Neodiprion lecontei: one gene and its partner. The protein of the gene in region 2 purifies or fractionates together with the protein of the main gene of each other region. This does not show direct contact. Links are inferred from orthologs where the notes say so. Each region holds a gene or a part of one and is shown on either strand. Other genes may lie near its edges.

Region 1 (7,224 bases), on a different chromosome or scaffold from region 2:
AGCTTAGTAGTCAGTCCCAGTGGTAAGTTTTTTTCACAGTATTAAAGCATCTATTGTATTCATATTATTTGAAACTGAATTCAAAGAAAAATGTCACCTGTATCCATAAAAAAATGTATTGTATAGTATACGTATTAAATTAATAACCTGCTCTAATTTCTTTCACAGCTACCAAGAAAGAAAGCAATATGAAGTTGGCTGTAAATTTACATGGAATATTGATTCGAATCAATATCGAATCACGAACGTCCTTCCATTGATAGAGACAAAGTCAAAACTGCACAAACGCTACATCTGGAACCCGACAAAGTTGATGGCTTCACAAATGCGTGAAAAGATGCAACAACCGTATGCTCACACTGTTCGATTTCTTCAGAATGTAATGGCGTTTGCAGGTATGTATCTGTGAATATTTAGAAACTACTCTACGTTTGTAATGAGCATTATTGTGACTGCTGTTATTTAATAACGGAAGTTATACATAATAATTTTAATTTATTACTCTTGTACGTACATGCATCAACATAATGTATGATATATTTACGATTTGTTCATAGATAATAGCCGCAGACTGAATAGAATATTTTTCCAAATTTCTATTACTTGTTTGGTTTGATACTAATAGTAAGTTATTGAAGTATTATTTAATTTTCAGGGGAATCCATTACGAGGCTTCATGATTTCGACAACCTTGTAGAATTATTTATTACACCCTTACCTGACTCTCCAACGATGTAATAACGTATTTATGCCCAGAACAGACATCTTACGGAATATAAATTATTGAATAATGTAACTGCTGTTATCATTAATTCTCTTCCTTTTATTTGTTGAATTACTAGATGTATCATCATTCTCAGGAACTTATTGCCTCGGCACACAAGTTTGAGCACATAGTCAAGAGAGTCTTGCATTACACATGAAGGTAGGTTAAAATTAAGCTATTAAATATCCTTGTATTAAGTGATGATTAATTTTATTTAGATTTTAAGACATTGATTCTACTAAACAAGTTGAATAGTCGACAATGATAATTGTTCGAGTTTGCATAATTTTAGATATAAATTGTCACGAGATATCTATCCAAACAATTTCATGACAGAATTCGTAGATATTTGATTAATATCACACTAAAATTTAATGTATCCGCTTAACAAAATATGTATTCCATTCTAATATAAGAAATATTGGACATAGAGATTTTACATGATTTTCATGCGTAACTAACAATAGGCAAATTCATTTTATCATATCTAGTTAAGTGATTTTTTGACAAATAGTAGATGGTATATCCAAGGCGGCACAATAGGTCTCTTAACACCGAGCATAAGTTTACAATATGAGTGACAGGCAAGCATGTGCATGTATTTTGCCTCCATGGTGCAGTCGACACTTTATATAACAAAAGTGTAGTTTACTAGTTTTTCCTTCATAGCGGCGTACATAAAAGAGCTCTGTTAAGTGCTAGGACGTAAAAGTGTATTTTTGCATACTCCGATGCTCTTTTTTCATACTGTCGGTAAAACGAGTACTTTAAGTACGGAACACAGGCAAAAAGACGTGTAAACCAAACTCTGTTACATAAATACATATATTTACATGATAAAGTTTGCAAAAATTTGCCTTCATCACAGCCGGTAGTTTCAAATACTAGTGGCTAGTAAATACTTGGGAGAAAAATAAATACAATAAGTATAATACTAAGTCAATAACTTTTAATATTTCATTGGGATCAAAACATGATGAGCAAATTCAAAATGTCAGCAGATATTGAACAGCCAGCTATACAATCAGAAACTGATGTTATCCACGGATGTACGAAAGGATTATGATTGTAATATTTTAATTTTTTTTACACGATGTCAGCTTATATTACATATATTTCACTTTTATTGTCGAGAAAGATATTCATTTTAGTATTGTTATATTCTTCGGCCATTGATAACACGTGGGTATTTAAATATTTTATTATTCGATCTTAAAGTTTATGATTAATGGTAATTATACAACAGTGCGGTTTTTTTTTCTTGCATTTAAAGTAAGACTAGAATGCTATTTGAAATTTAAGCAGGAACCTTAATAGAAGGGCCCAAATTAATTTCTGTTCCGTTATCAAGTTTTAAACCTGACAGCACCTCTTCCCAGGCATTCATGCAATGTTGATAATGCAAAATCTGTTGATCCGCCATTGATATGAGCATAGTTTTCAAATCCGAACGCTTTTCTTTATTCCAACGTTCCAGATCACTACGTAAATTTTCATTAGCACATTCTACACGGTCTTGCAGGAGTTCCACTTTTTTTCCAAGCCTAGGAATGGACTGTCCAATTTTTTCTAGCTTTTCATCTCGAGATTCACCTTTCCATAATGAACCACCCCAACCAGGTGAATTACTGGAACTAGCTCCAACACCTGTCAACTACACAAATATTATCAAATTGTATAAATCAAATTATATTTGTTGTATGACAATATTCTTATAAAAAGTTGAAATTGCTCACCTGATCTTTTTCTTGGCGTTTTTTAGCCAAATCATCTACAGTCATTTCGTACTCAATTTGCATTGAATCACGCCGAACTAAAGTATCCCGTACAGCATCTATGTAGGCCAAGTATTCTCGCATATCGCTTGGGAATGAGTCAAGCACAACCTGATGAGCAACTGCATTATTTTCAATTGCTTTAGCAATTGCAGTTAAAATTGGATTTAGCTCTGGTTCAGATGTCGCCCATAGGGTAAATATTGGATGTAACTGATGTAACTCCAACAGATATTCTGTTCAACAGTAAAAAGCGAAATATTAGTAGCCAGATGATATAATTTATCTAATTCTACATGCTTCTAAACAGAATATGTATCTTCTGAGATTTAAATGTGTAAAAATTGAACTCTACCTTGTCTTTCTTTCTGAATTCGGTGGCTAATTTTGTCTATAGTTGATAGTTTATCAGCCAATGCCACGCAATAATCTCGCACCTGTTCAAATTCAAGATGCCGCTGTTTCATTGTGTACATATTAGCCATATTTTGCAGGGAATCAGTCATTTTTACGAGAACATTACTGCGGGATTTTCGATGGATAGAGAATTCCTGTTGAAAAGTATAAACATCAGTAATTTTCATAGGTAAAATTGTTTAGTATCTTTGAAATTATTTTTTTGACAATACGTACAGCTGGTTTAGCAGTCAGAAAAATGTATAAACTTTTTTCAGAGCTTAGAATTGGATGGTTCACTACACGGTTTAGAAATCCATGTAAAAGTTTCATTCGAGCCATTATAAATTCCTTTGAGTAACGATCTAGCTGTGCCAACAGCGTGTGTTTACCCGGCATTGGCTATAAGTGTGAACTATCATTTAGAATACGTATGCTTAATTAATATATACGTTATGAGTGTGTAGTGTTATAAATGAGCACTTACAGGTATAATGTGTGTTGGGTAGGTGTCGACAAGTTTCTGACGTAACCAAATGAAATCATTGTAACGACGGCGCACGACATACTCAGTTTCTTCAAATTCAGGACGTGATGTCTGAAAATTCAATTGCCATGCATGTTTGAAAATCTAGTAAAGGTTTAGATTAGTACTATACTTTTTTTTTTAATGAACTTTAATATTAACAAATACGTAAAATAACACATAGTGTGTATTCTAAAATCAAATTTATCGCTCAAAAAGTTTTGGAACATTGTTTTACATGTCTCATAAACAAGATGAAAGTGACCCTAATGTAAAAACGTTTATAGTGCTAAATGCAATGAGGTAAGCTCTCTAATTATCACATTTCCCAAGTCTAAATACATGTGTCTACATACCGTGCCGATACTTGTCTCAACAAAGCGATCTAAACTCTGTTCACTATAAATGATAATTTGTCCATATATTGTAATCAATATATGCTGCATACCCTTGTTGTAACGCGGAATGTGATGAATGTCTCCAAGGTTTCAAGATGCTTTTGAGGATTATCTACTTTCACCTGTAGATCCCGAGAGTCAATGGGGAAATCTGATATTTCTTGTTCTGGTAAAGTTGAAAAACTATCGATGGATGGAGATGCTACCTGAATGAAAAATAATTAAGTTTGATTACGCTATGGTCATATGTTGCATTAAGAATTAGTTGGATATATCTTTCTCGGCTACTAGTTAGCGGCCGAATATTCGCTACGCCTTTTGCCAATTTTCATAATTTCTTTAAAATATTCTTGTACCCGAGAAGAGATCATTCAACTGCATGAATATTATTGTTTTGCAATGTTGACGTTTTAATTGCCTAATAGTTTTCACGAATCATAAGCATCATATGATCATAAGTTAATATTGTAGGTTATACTAACCACAGATCCTTCGATCGAAGTACTGTAATTGGAGAGAAAATCTGTGTCGCGACTTTCTTGTTTCACCAAACCTCCTGCAGCCATCGAACTGACTTGAAGAACGGCCGAATCTTCCATAGTTTTTTCATCGAGCGCATCAATGTCTGTTTCCGAAGATGTCATCATTTTGATTTTTGATTGACAAGTATGAAACACTACGCCAAAGTACGCCACACAGTTACAAACATCAACCTGCAGTAAACGTAGTATAGTGAACTGTGTGGAATCGAGTGACAATCGTGACAGGTGACGTATGAGATCTACCGGTATCTGTTATGTCTGTTATCTTATAATCTTATGTTTAAACCGGAAAAAGATGTAACCGGATGTCGAGCAGTGCCGCAACGGAGAAATAGTTTCAAATTGTTGGCGGGTACCGATTGTTTTAGGTAGCATTTGTTTTTCTCGATCATAAAGCGTGTTTTTCTTGCATCCGAGGATGACGGCGAATCAATAAAGTAGTAAATAATAATCGTCTCGTAGATACCGTAGCTCTGGGATACATGTCTAATAATTAAATCTTGCCAATATTCTAATTAAATAATAATGAATTGGCAAAGTGAAGGTAATAATAGGTATGGAACTTCGAGGTTCATTGTCACGCCAAACGAAGGACGCCGTATCGTCACAGCGATTCGTTATCATCCCAAAAATCGATCCGCTGTTCATTGTATTGCGACAAATTCCCAAATCACCTACGGTGAGTATTTTTATTGACTAATTTCTCTTGCAAATCATCTTCCTGATTTCGAATCCATATGTGGCTAGGCGCGTCAGAAATTATAGCGTGATTAACTAGAATAAAATTTATCGTCAATAACGGCCAACTGTATACGCCGAGCAACCGCGGTGCTTGCACAATTGAGCTGTATTGAATTTAAGAACAAAATAAAAGTGGAAGAAAACCGAAGACGAATTCGAGAGCTCGAAACACCTGTCACGGAAGCCGAGAATTAGGAGTCGAACCCATTGCTGCCTGCTGTTACGCGGTTGGTGTAGTCCGCCGCGCGTAGGAACATTAGTCCAAGCGTAGGAAAGCAGTTCCCTAGCAATAGAGATTCCGTATAAATTTTCAGTAATTTTCGAGAAGCTGTAGGGAGGAGTGCAAGGCTGAAAATAAGTTCGCCGTTCCTAGTTTAGATGTGATTATTTTTGGGTAGAATGAACCAACATGGTGCGAGTTAAACCGAAAAACGAGGGGATTCGGACGGGTAGTTCAGCGGCGTGTGATGCCGTAGCCAAGGCGACCGCAGCAGCAGACAACTGACAATCCGCTGCTCGTCGTCAACAATATTCTAGCGTGCATATTTCAGTTCGTTTCCACGGTGATTTGCAGGGTCAGCACCGAGGAATCCTGGACGACATTAAGACACCTGTCAGGAAAGCCGGCAGGCTAGCAAACACAAGTTTATTCGTCATTCATGAAAACAGGTGCGACCGATTGATTGTGTAGTTAAGATGGCTGCATAATTGCATGCCAGTTTTTTCATTTCTGGTATTTTTGATCAAGTACCCTGTTTTCGGACAACTTTACGCTTGTTCTATCGGTCTTCTGTGAAGGTGGTGCAATTTTCGGAATCGGTCCCATTATCCTTAATTCTTTGTATAAGTAGCTTCAATGACCAGAGTTTATGCTCACCAGCAAGTTTACCCTGTCATTATATTTTCCTATTTTAAAAACCTTCCAATAATACAGATTTGGTTGTTCAGTTGTTTTAAACTATTGATAATCAACTAAGAAAGTTTTACAAAAATTCGTTACACAAATAATCGGTGCAACTTCGAGAAATATGGAACAAAATGACAAAGTCATTGAGCCAAGGTAAAAAAATTCTACCTTGAATATCACAAATCATTAATCTTTGAAGCTAAGGGTGCTCTTATCTGTTTGTCATAATTTAATCGAGTTGCACCATTGTTCATATTTTTTTCCAATACTGCAATGCGGTATAATTTTTATAAATGAAATTCTTAGATCTCACACATACATGAATTAAATAAAAGCTCTGTTCATAACATTTCTTGGAACATTGTACACACTCCTGAGTGAAAGCAATATATGACAGTATTTCTATTGATCTCAATTATCCACAAGTAACAATAAGTAAATAAATAATTAATAAAATAATAAATCAACAATATAAGATCAGAGAAATAGAGGAGTACACTGGAGTGTGATTTTTTGTCTAGCCTAGTTCTATTAGGTTCACTTTCACCCCATCATACTGCAGGTATCATACGTTCTTTCCTGCACCCTAGCAAATTTATAAGCCACATTACAGCATCACATGCACCACTGAGTTTTTTCAATTTCGCACGCCATGCCACCCTCTGGCCTATAGAATTGAATACCGATCAAATCCACCAGGGTTTCAATTAAAACCGTCTTATACATATTACTATATCAGATTATTAAGTCTTTCGATGCAATATACTATAATTCAGAGATTCTTGAATGAGTAAGAATAGATAGTTTAATTCTACAAACGAATACATGCTTGATAATACCATATAGCTGTTTGCATTTTCATTTATTATCAAGCTTGGAATAATTTTATGGATACATAATATTTACAACTAAATCTTATTTCTAGGTAATAACAAGGGTGGAGGAATGAGTATATGGGGTATTCCATGCCAACTAGACCTGCCGCCAACCCTCACCATCTTCGATTTGGCTTGAACTTTAATATTGTATTTGAGGGGTCGAAAAAGTAGCCAATGAATTATTTCAGATTTTTTTGACCACCGGTGAAAAAGTTATTTCATTTTCACACTAATTTATATCCCACCATGCGTCAGTCGTACGAAACAGTCATTAATACAAAAATTCATAGCGATA
Region 2 (7,482 bases):
AGATTTGGCTATTACATACATCCAAATATTACGACTTCGTTGTTATACCTTGCCAAAGAAATTACAACATTCCATTCGTTATTCGAGCCGGGAAACGTTTAGGAAATTTTGCGTCTCGGAAGTTTTCTGCTTTACCGACGCTCCTGTGATATGTCAATGCGAAAATTAACGCACATCATTCGGCCGGATCAGCGATTCCGATTTTTCCGACGTTTTTTTCCATGTGAAAAATATATTTCCCAGATTAAGGCGAGATATTATCACGTCACAAAATTAATACGACAATCACGGTACACAACGAAAAAGAAGATACTAAAATTGCTCACGTGATTAATTAATTCTATTCTAAAAAATGACGCACGCTTTGCGAACCGATCAATTACATGTAATTTTTTGTTGCGAAATTGTTGAACCAAATCTCGCGGAAACGTTTGTAGGACGAACGATCCATCACTTTCATATACTAGCTCACAAACAGTGGGCACGTGATATTTTTTATCAAAGCAGGAACGTGTCAGCAGCCTCGTCGACTTTGGATAATTAATGTGTGAGAGGCGTAACAAGCCTCGCGTTACGATTGTTACGATTTAAGGTTTAGAAAATTTTCTATTGTTAATAAAAATCTGAATAATTCTATTCCCCGATATTCGTTACAGACTGAGGATAAATTATTGGTGAATTTTTGAATTAAAATAATTATTCTTGCGTGTTGAGAGGATAAATTTTGTTTTCAAAGTTTATAAAATGTAAATTGGGAATTTAGAGTTTGTGTGAAGCAAAAAAAAAAAACTTGATTAGAGAAATACTCTAGGTCAACGGATTAAGCTTATATCAAAGCTCGGTCGACTAGGTAGAAGTTTGAAAATGATTGTGCAAAAATTTCACCTCATCCTACGTCGTTTGAACTTTCACACTTGCGGTAGAAAGCGGCGCGAAATAATCTCAGGCAAAACTCCATCCGAAACTTTTGCCTCGATCATACTTAAGTCGATAAGTATTGTTGGAAAATCGCATGACTTCCATTTTAATCGTAACAAATCTCCGGCAAGATGTTATTTAAATATTTTCGCGGGTCGTGCGAACACGTCATAACCGGAAGTTTAGCATGATTGATCGTTAACAAAAAGTTATACTGTGGTTCAGTATTTTATGAAGGAACGAAAACTCGTTGAATAATTTGATTTAAGCGTAGGAACGTTGTACGTACATATGCGAAGTTTATTAAATTTTTAAAGCAAATTTTGCGTCAAATTACGCAGACGCTTTTACTTAAACTTTGCCGAACAATGGAATATATATATACACGTATATATCTATATTCATAAATATATATATGTTTTTTGTTTTAAATATATAGATGTAGGTACATATAAATACTAAACGGTGCTGCTCGTCTTTCAGGTATTTATACACAACGCGTATACGCTGTGCTCAGTATGTATTATGCACAAACTAATATCTATTAAATAAGAATATTTAAATAACCTTAGAACATCAAACGTCTGGAGAGCTTATAAATGCAGGAATGTAGATGTACATCGGGTGACATGGAACGATTAAGGTTGTTTTGTGATGTTGCACTTGATAAAGAGATATTGTACTTGCAGGATGTGCTTTGAATAGCTTAAGGAATACTCTCAAGGCAATCTTTGATATGTTGCCAAGTTTGAAGACCCTGAAAATATCAAATGTTAGTTTATTTCCATTTTATTTCGAACAAGACTGCAATGCCAAAAACAACAGAACCAAAGTACAGCTTTTATTACCTTTCTAGCTAACTTAAACTGTAGAACACAATATGCAGCGAGAGTCTCCTTCAAATCTAGTACTTTCTGGTGCTGGAATCTTTCTATATCCACCATTGCTTTGATGGAGAAAGATCTGGAAATAAAGTGTCGACCGTTATCAACGTCCCAACCGATAACATTGCAGCCATCAAGATATTAATGAAAGTCAAAAGAGCTTAACTCACTCCAAGTCTTCGTTCGCCTGTTTCACAGCTGTTTCACTTTGATTAATTCTCTGCTCCAGCTGGTGAACCTTCAGCTCACGCACCTCTTCTGTATCCACAGACCCGAACAGACGGGATATGAGCCCAGTTTTACCTGTAAACGATGTAACAATGCGTGTAATAAATTGTTGAGAATTAGATGTTTATTCTTAGAGATTTTCGTATACCTTGCTGCAATTTATCCTTATGCTCACAAGTCGCGGTGAGAGAATCGTAGGTCTCATCGCTAACCAGTTGCAAAGCTTCTCTTCGTCTGACGACTGCCTGTAGTGCAGAAGCCCCAAATAACCACTCCTTCAATTGGTCTGCGATGAGCTCCTCCTCCTCTAGAGCTGTGTCAATACTTGCGGCTATCGAGTCTAAGTAATGTCCAGATTTCTGTAAAAATCATTCAGGATAAGGTATTAAATACCGATGAAGTGAGGAGAAGCGAGGATAAATAAAGTACCTGCAGACCATCGCCCATTTCTTTCTCTATAGCACTCCACTCGCTGAACACACGTCCATAATTAGCGTGTAATTTGTACAGTCCATATTGCTTTTCGACCAGACGTGCTCGAACTCTAAGTAGGTTGCATAAATTGCTCTGAAATGATGAATGGTGGATAAATTCGGGACATGATCGCGGAAAGGTTGAATAAACAATGAATCTTTCTGTACCCCCTTACCTGTAATTCAATTCCGTAGTTTTTTATTGTTTCAAATCGTTTATCAGGTTTTTTCAGTCTCACAGCTACGCTAAGAGCTTTTAGCTTGGATTCTGCTAGATGCAGATAGCCTAGAAGAAAGAAAGAACCGTATCACACTATGCAAGGCTCGAAAAATTCGTGCTGTAATTATGTATCCTGAATAAAATTGACCTGAAAAACTCAGCTGCTATCTTTATCAGTGGCACAAAAGTTTCAGCCAACTTTATACCTACCAGTTTCCTTGATACTCTCTCGCCAATCGTTTTCCTGCTGCAGGAAACCCATGAAGTGTTCGTCGTGTGATAACACTGGATGTGAAGCAACACGCAACAGGAAATTCTGTAGGCAATAAGCAGCGGGAAATATAGTATATATTTAAATAATTTATTAAGCAAACATAATCTACAGTCTACATCCTTACCTCAAGTCCAGCTCTACGGCGATCGACAAAGTCAGGATCGAACGTATCGGAAGCTACCTTTTGCCATCCATAAAGTACCTTCTTCTCAGGCAGCGCAGGTAACACTATGTAAGGATAAGATACCTCCAGGTAAGCCCGTAACAATTCAAATTCGGTGTAGCGTCTCCATAACGAACTAAGTTGTGTCAGAGCGCCTTTGAAGTCTGGATCGGTTACTCTGAAACACACACGATGTATCATTAGTGGGGTAAAATCTCAGGCTGAAATCAATATACTTGTTTAGAATAACAAGACCCACTCACTTGGTTTCCACCAAATAAACCGTGTAAAATTCTCTGAGATTTAAAGCTCCGTTGGCACGCTTTTCTGCCTCCACTATCACGATTTCCATATGATCAAGAAGACAATCCTGAAATGGCGAATTAGAGTAATATTATTTATCGATGATCTAATGCTCATAAAGTTTTTTAGCAATTGTTATTGAATCGGGATCTAAAGGAAGAATGTTAAAACTCTTTGATATTGAAATTTTTCAGTTACTCCCACGTTATTTACTGAAAATATTTTATTTACTTTATTGCAAAACTCGTGTTCAAATCAGAGTTGAGTAAAATTGATTGGAGAGATGGGTCACTGGGTCAACATAACAGGAGGAGGACTTTGCTGATTATCGTAGAAAGTCAACAGGCGAAGTATACATGATAATATTGTTTGTACACATGTCAGGGTGCGACTAGAGTATTTGAATTATCTTCTGCCGTTAGAATTATCGCGTTACCTATTTTTGATTCTCCCTCTCTTAAATATGTAGATCAGATCGAACTGTAATCATATGTAGGAATAATGTTTAGAAATTACAAGTAGACACTGTACCTAGGACGCGTCTCTCAATCTTCTTTCACCCCGTGATATTATACTAAAAATCATCGATGCGTATTTACCTCTTTCCGTATTATTTCCTCTGATGTAGTCATGTTGGCTGTTGTTGTTATTGTTGAGATGTTATTTCCTAGTCTATCGTCGTAATTCCCGTTTTGAAATATTTCCTCCATCGTTCCTCCGTGCAGACGGATATCGACTTCGAGTTAATATTAATTCGCGATTGTCTGTCCATCAACTCTTCGCACTACGCCAAAGTCACCTGATCACATCACGACCTATTTATTTCATCTTTGGCTAGCTAATTGCTAAAGCTGCTGAACTGACGTCGATGCAAAGCGTCGCATCGGAGGTTTCTACCCGTCTGAACCGAGCGGTGAAACAAACGCGCGTGCGCCGAAAGTCGGCGTGATGAATTTGGGCCAAGTCGCTACAGTTTGTCCATTCGTTATCAGTTTAGTCGCTCGGGTCGTCCAATACGTCCCAGAAAGCCAATACATCATATGGAAGAGAAATACTCATTCAAAAACATCATACGTGTCGATGATTAGTAGAATGTATCAAGATTCAAAACCAATGTTTTCAGCATGATATAATTAAGAATTTCAAATTACCCAAGAACCCTTGCGCAGGGTGCGCAAGAGTGGGGAGCAGTCGCAAGGTGGGGAGGCTACGTGTATAAGTCCTATGTGTTGCCCCTGCCAAGTCACCGATTAGAGTGAGAGAAAATGCCTGCAGCTGTCGTTCTTTGTTTTGTCACAGCTTCAACACTGTGCGCAAAGCGCGCAGTCTTCTCTATGGCAATACATAGGATGGACAAGTAGTACGCCCAAATTCCATACGACTGGTTTAATTATGCGACTATGCTGGTCCCATTCGTCAGAATTATACCTTTATTATTGATAATTTTATTTTTCAGTAATATTTGACATATGCAGTACAATACACTGAAAATAACCCAAATGACATTTCATTCCACGTAAAAGTTTTGTTAAATTAGGAAGATTTATAGTGAATAAAATAATTAGAAATCTGCGCAGGTTGATGAATATAGTTACTTATTAACTATTATATACGCATGCGCTAATTAAAGAAGTGATTATGTTTTACTTAGTAAATTAATCTTTTGTTAAATTTCTTGTTTCTTTTTCTTGCATCATTTTTTGATTCTGTATCGTGCTTTGTATGTATATACTTATATATACTGTTTAAGTATATGATAATTTATACTATTGCTGTTGTGAAATCCACAAACAAAAATTATATTTATAATATAGAAAATTGTTCCAAATTTTCGAACGTCATTCGAGGCTTTTCACATTGTAGACAAAAACCCCGTGCAAAATTTTTTCTAAACAGCCAACAGATGTTGACGTACAGTATATAAAAACACTCACATGCTTGACTGTTTGTCTTTGGATCTATTCAGGAGAAATAATGTTACAAAACATCGTTCCTATCAGGTGAGGTTCGAATCAATTTTCAAGTGGTTCTGTTGTACACAGACGGATGATCGTTCAAAGTGATGAAAAAAAACATTTGTCAATTAATCAGATTGTACCTAACAAATCTAAATAACTAACATTGAATAATTAAATTTTAAGGGACGCTTACTACTGGAAAAAACAAGATAACGTTTTTCACACAATAAAAATGATAAATTTCATCGGCTGATTTGTGTTATTTAGTGTCTACTCCATGATATCTCGTAAATTGTGATACACATTCTGAAAATACGTGTTTCAAAAGTAAGATCACCCACGTGAAACAACGTAAGAAAACGAAGAAAAGACGAATCTCAGCCACATCTCGATCGGCATGGACACCCAACCGACGTTATCGAAACCTTAATTTCTCACACTTAACGAAGTAGCAAACTTAACTTACCCTTTTGGCTGTTACACCTAAGTGGTAATTCAAAATTAAATTTCGTGGTTCGACTCAGTTTTGCACTAACTGGTTGGCGGAGGTGGCGGCGGCGGTTGCGCCAACAATGTCGGTAAGCTGTTCAAATCGATACCCGGCGGTGCAGGTGCCGGTTGCTGAGGTGGCGGAGGTACAGGGGCTGCTGGCGGCCATCCGCTCAGGGTTTGCTGCTGCCATCCCGGATATCCAGGAGGTGGAGCTGTTCCAGGAGGCGGAGGACGCATCGGACTTTGTTGCCCTTGTTGCCACGGTGGCATTCCTCCCATTCCCGGGGGCATTTGGCTTGGTGGCATTTGGCCGGGCGGTGGAGGCTGGTTGTTTGCAGTCATCCACGGCATCAACGGTGGAATATTGGGTTGCGTGGTTGAGCCGGGGGGCGGAGGTGGCGGCTGCATCACACCTGGAGGCGGAGGCATGCTGACCGGAGGTTGCCACTGCATATTCATACCATTCATGCTGTTCACATCGTTCTGGGTCCAGGGAGGCGGCGCCATGCCTGGTGGAGGCATCATTGGACCGCCTTGCATCATCTGCGGCGGTGGATGTGCCGGAGCTGCCATCAAAGCACGAGGCGCTTGTTGTCTGAAAGAAGTATCAATTTTTATAGCTAATATTGTGAAGAATATCAGTAACATAATTCTGGTCAAGTCAGGGAGTCGACGACTTACCTATCGAATAGACCCGGATAATTTGTGTTTTGGGAGCGTTGATGTCCCTTGGATCGATCTGGGGGTGGACCCTCGCCGAGCTCAGCCATTAGTGACATGTATTCCTCGTCAATCTTTGCTTTATCGCCACCTGGGGTGATTCCAGTCATTCCAGCAGCTGCTGGACCACCTTGACCAGGTCGTTTTGATCGACAATCTCGCGCTATATGTCCCGCGCCTCCGCAACTCGAGCATACGATGTTATTGGTAACATTGGGTTTGTCAGGACACTGGAAATAAGTTGCGAGATAATAAAGATTAGAGCTTCTGCAGCGGACCAGAAGACGAAAAGTGGTGATATACTTACCAGCCAAGATTTGTGGTCGCTTGCGCCACAGTTCGTACATCGAGGTCCGTCATTCTCTCGAAGTGTTCCATTCAGCAATGCTAATTCGCGTAATTGATTGCGACGTAAATCGTTCTGGCCCTCAGGTACTTCAACTCCTTGTCTAATTATTTCATGAATCTAACAACAACGATACACTTGTGTATTTTTCTGGAGTATAGATTAAATATTGGGATGGTTTCGTTTGGTTTTCATTAGAGGCATACACACCCTTTCAACTGCTTTCTTCACAGCATCAAGATTGTTCGCAGTAATGTACGCATGCAACGGTTCGTCCTCTCCTGGCAAAGGCTGACCATCTTTTCTACCAACTTTACCTTCTTTTACTGAACCCTTTCCACGAATAATAATCTTGGCGCCGGTTTCTTTTTCCATTGCTGTAAAAGGATGGAATAGGAAAAAAAATTCAGCTACTCTGTACCAAATAAATTCAGTGCAGTCATGACACAAGTTTAGCATAAACAAAATTACGTACATTTCAAAGTATTCCCACGTGGTCCAAT

Evidence for each region.
Region 1: the proteins of sorting nexin-4 (region 2) and sorting nexin-30 purify together in Homo sapiens (co-immunoprecipitation; 4 studies listed by BioGRID and IntAct, counting the BioPlex papers as one, with this or other methods). This does not show direct contact. The link is inferred for Neodiprion lecontei from reciprocal best matches to the Homo sapiens genes SNX4 and SNX30.

The regions. Positions count from the first base shown.
Region 1 is NC_060263.1:34,516,629-34,523,852, reverse strand, and holds sorting nexin-30, read right to left. Parts: upstream 4,683-7,224; 5' UTR 4,509-4,682; coding exon 4,344-4,508; intron 4,068-4,343; coding exon 3,912-4,067; intron 3,536-3,911; coding exon 3,425-3,535; intron 3,340-3,424; coding exon 3,175-3,339; intron 3,093-3,174; coding exon 2,897-3,092; intron 2,778-2,896; coding exon 2,503-2,777; intron 2,421-2,502; coding exon 2,064-2,420; 3' UTR 1,694-2,063; downstream 1-1,693. Other genes in the region: uncharacterized protein LOC107218731, read left to right, coding at 1-22, 169-395, 656-734, 843-897; DNA-binding protein RFX2, read left to right, coding at 5,804-5,813. UniProt on the Homo sapiens protein: Involved in the regulation of endocytosis and in several stages of intracellular trafficking. Together with SNX4, involved in autophagosome assembly.
Region 2 is NC_060260.1:2,606,182-2,613,663, forward strand, and holds sorting nexin-4, read right to left. Parts: upstream 4,345-7,482; 5' UTR 4,174-4,344; coding exon 4,063-4,173; intron 3,531-4,062; coding exon 3,424-3,530; intron 3,339-3,423; coding exon 3,122-3,338; intron 3,040-3,121; coding exon 2,934-3,039; intron 2,790-2,933; coding exon 2,680-2,789; intron 2,598-2,679; coding exon 2,460-2,597; intron 2,390-2,459; coding exon 2,179-2,389; intron 2,106-2,178; coding exon 1,973-2,105; intron 1,882-1,972; coding exon 1,767-1,881; intron 1,676-1,766; coding exon 1,625-1,675; 3' UTR 1,192-1,624; downstream 1-1,191. Other genes in the region: splicing factor 1, read right to left, coding at 5,953-6,508, 6,595-6,863, 6,941-7,099, 7,190-7,356, 7,455-7,482. UniProt on the Homo sapiens protein: Involved in the regulation of endocytosis and in several stages of intracellular trafficking. Plays a role in recycling endocytosed transferrin receptor and prevent its degradation.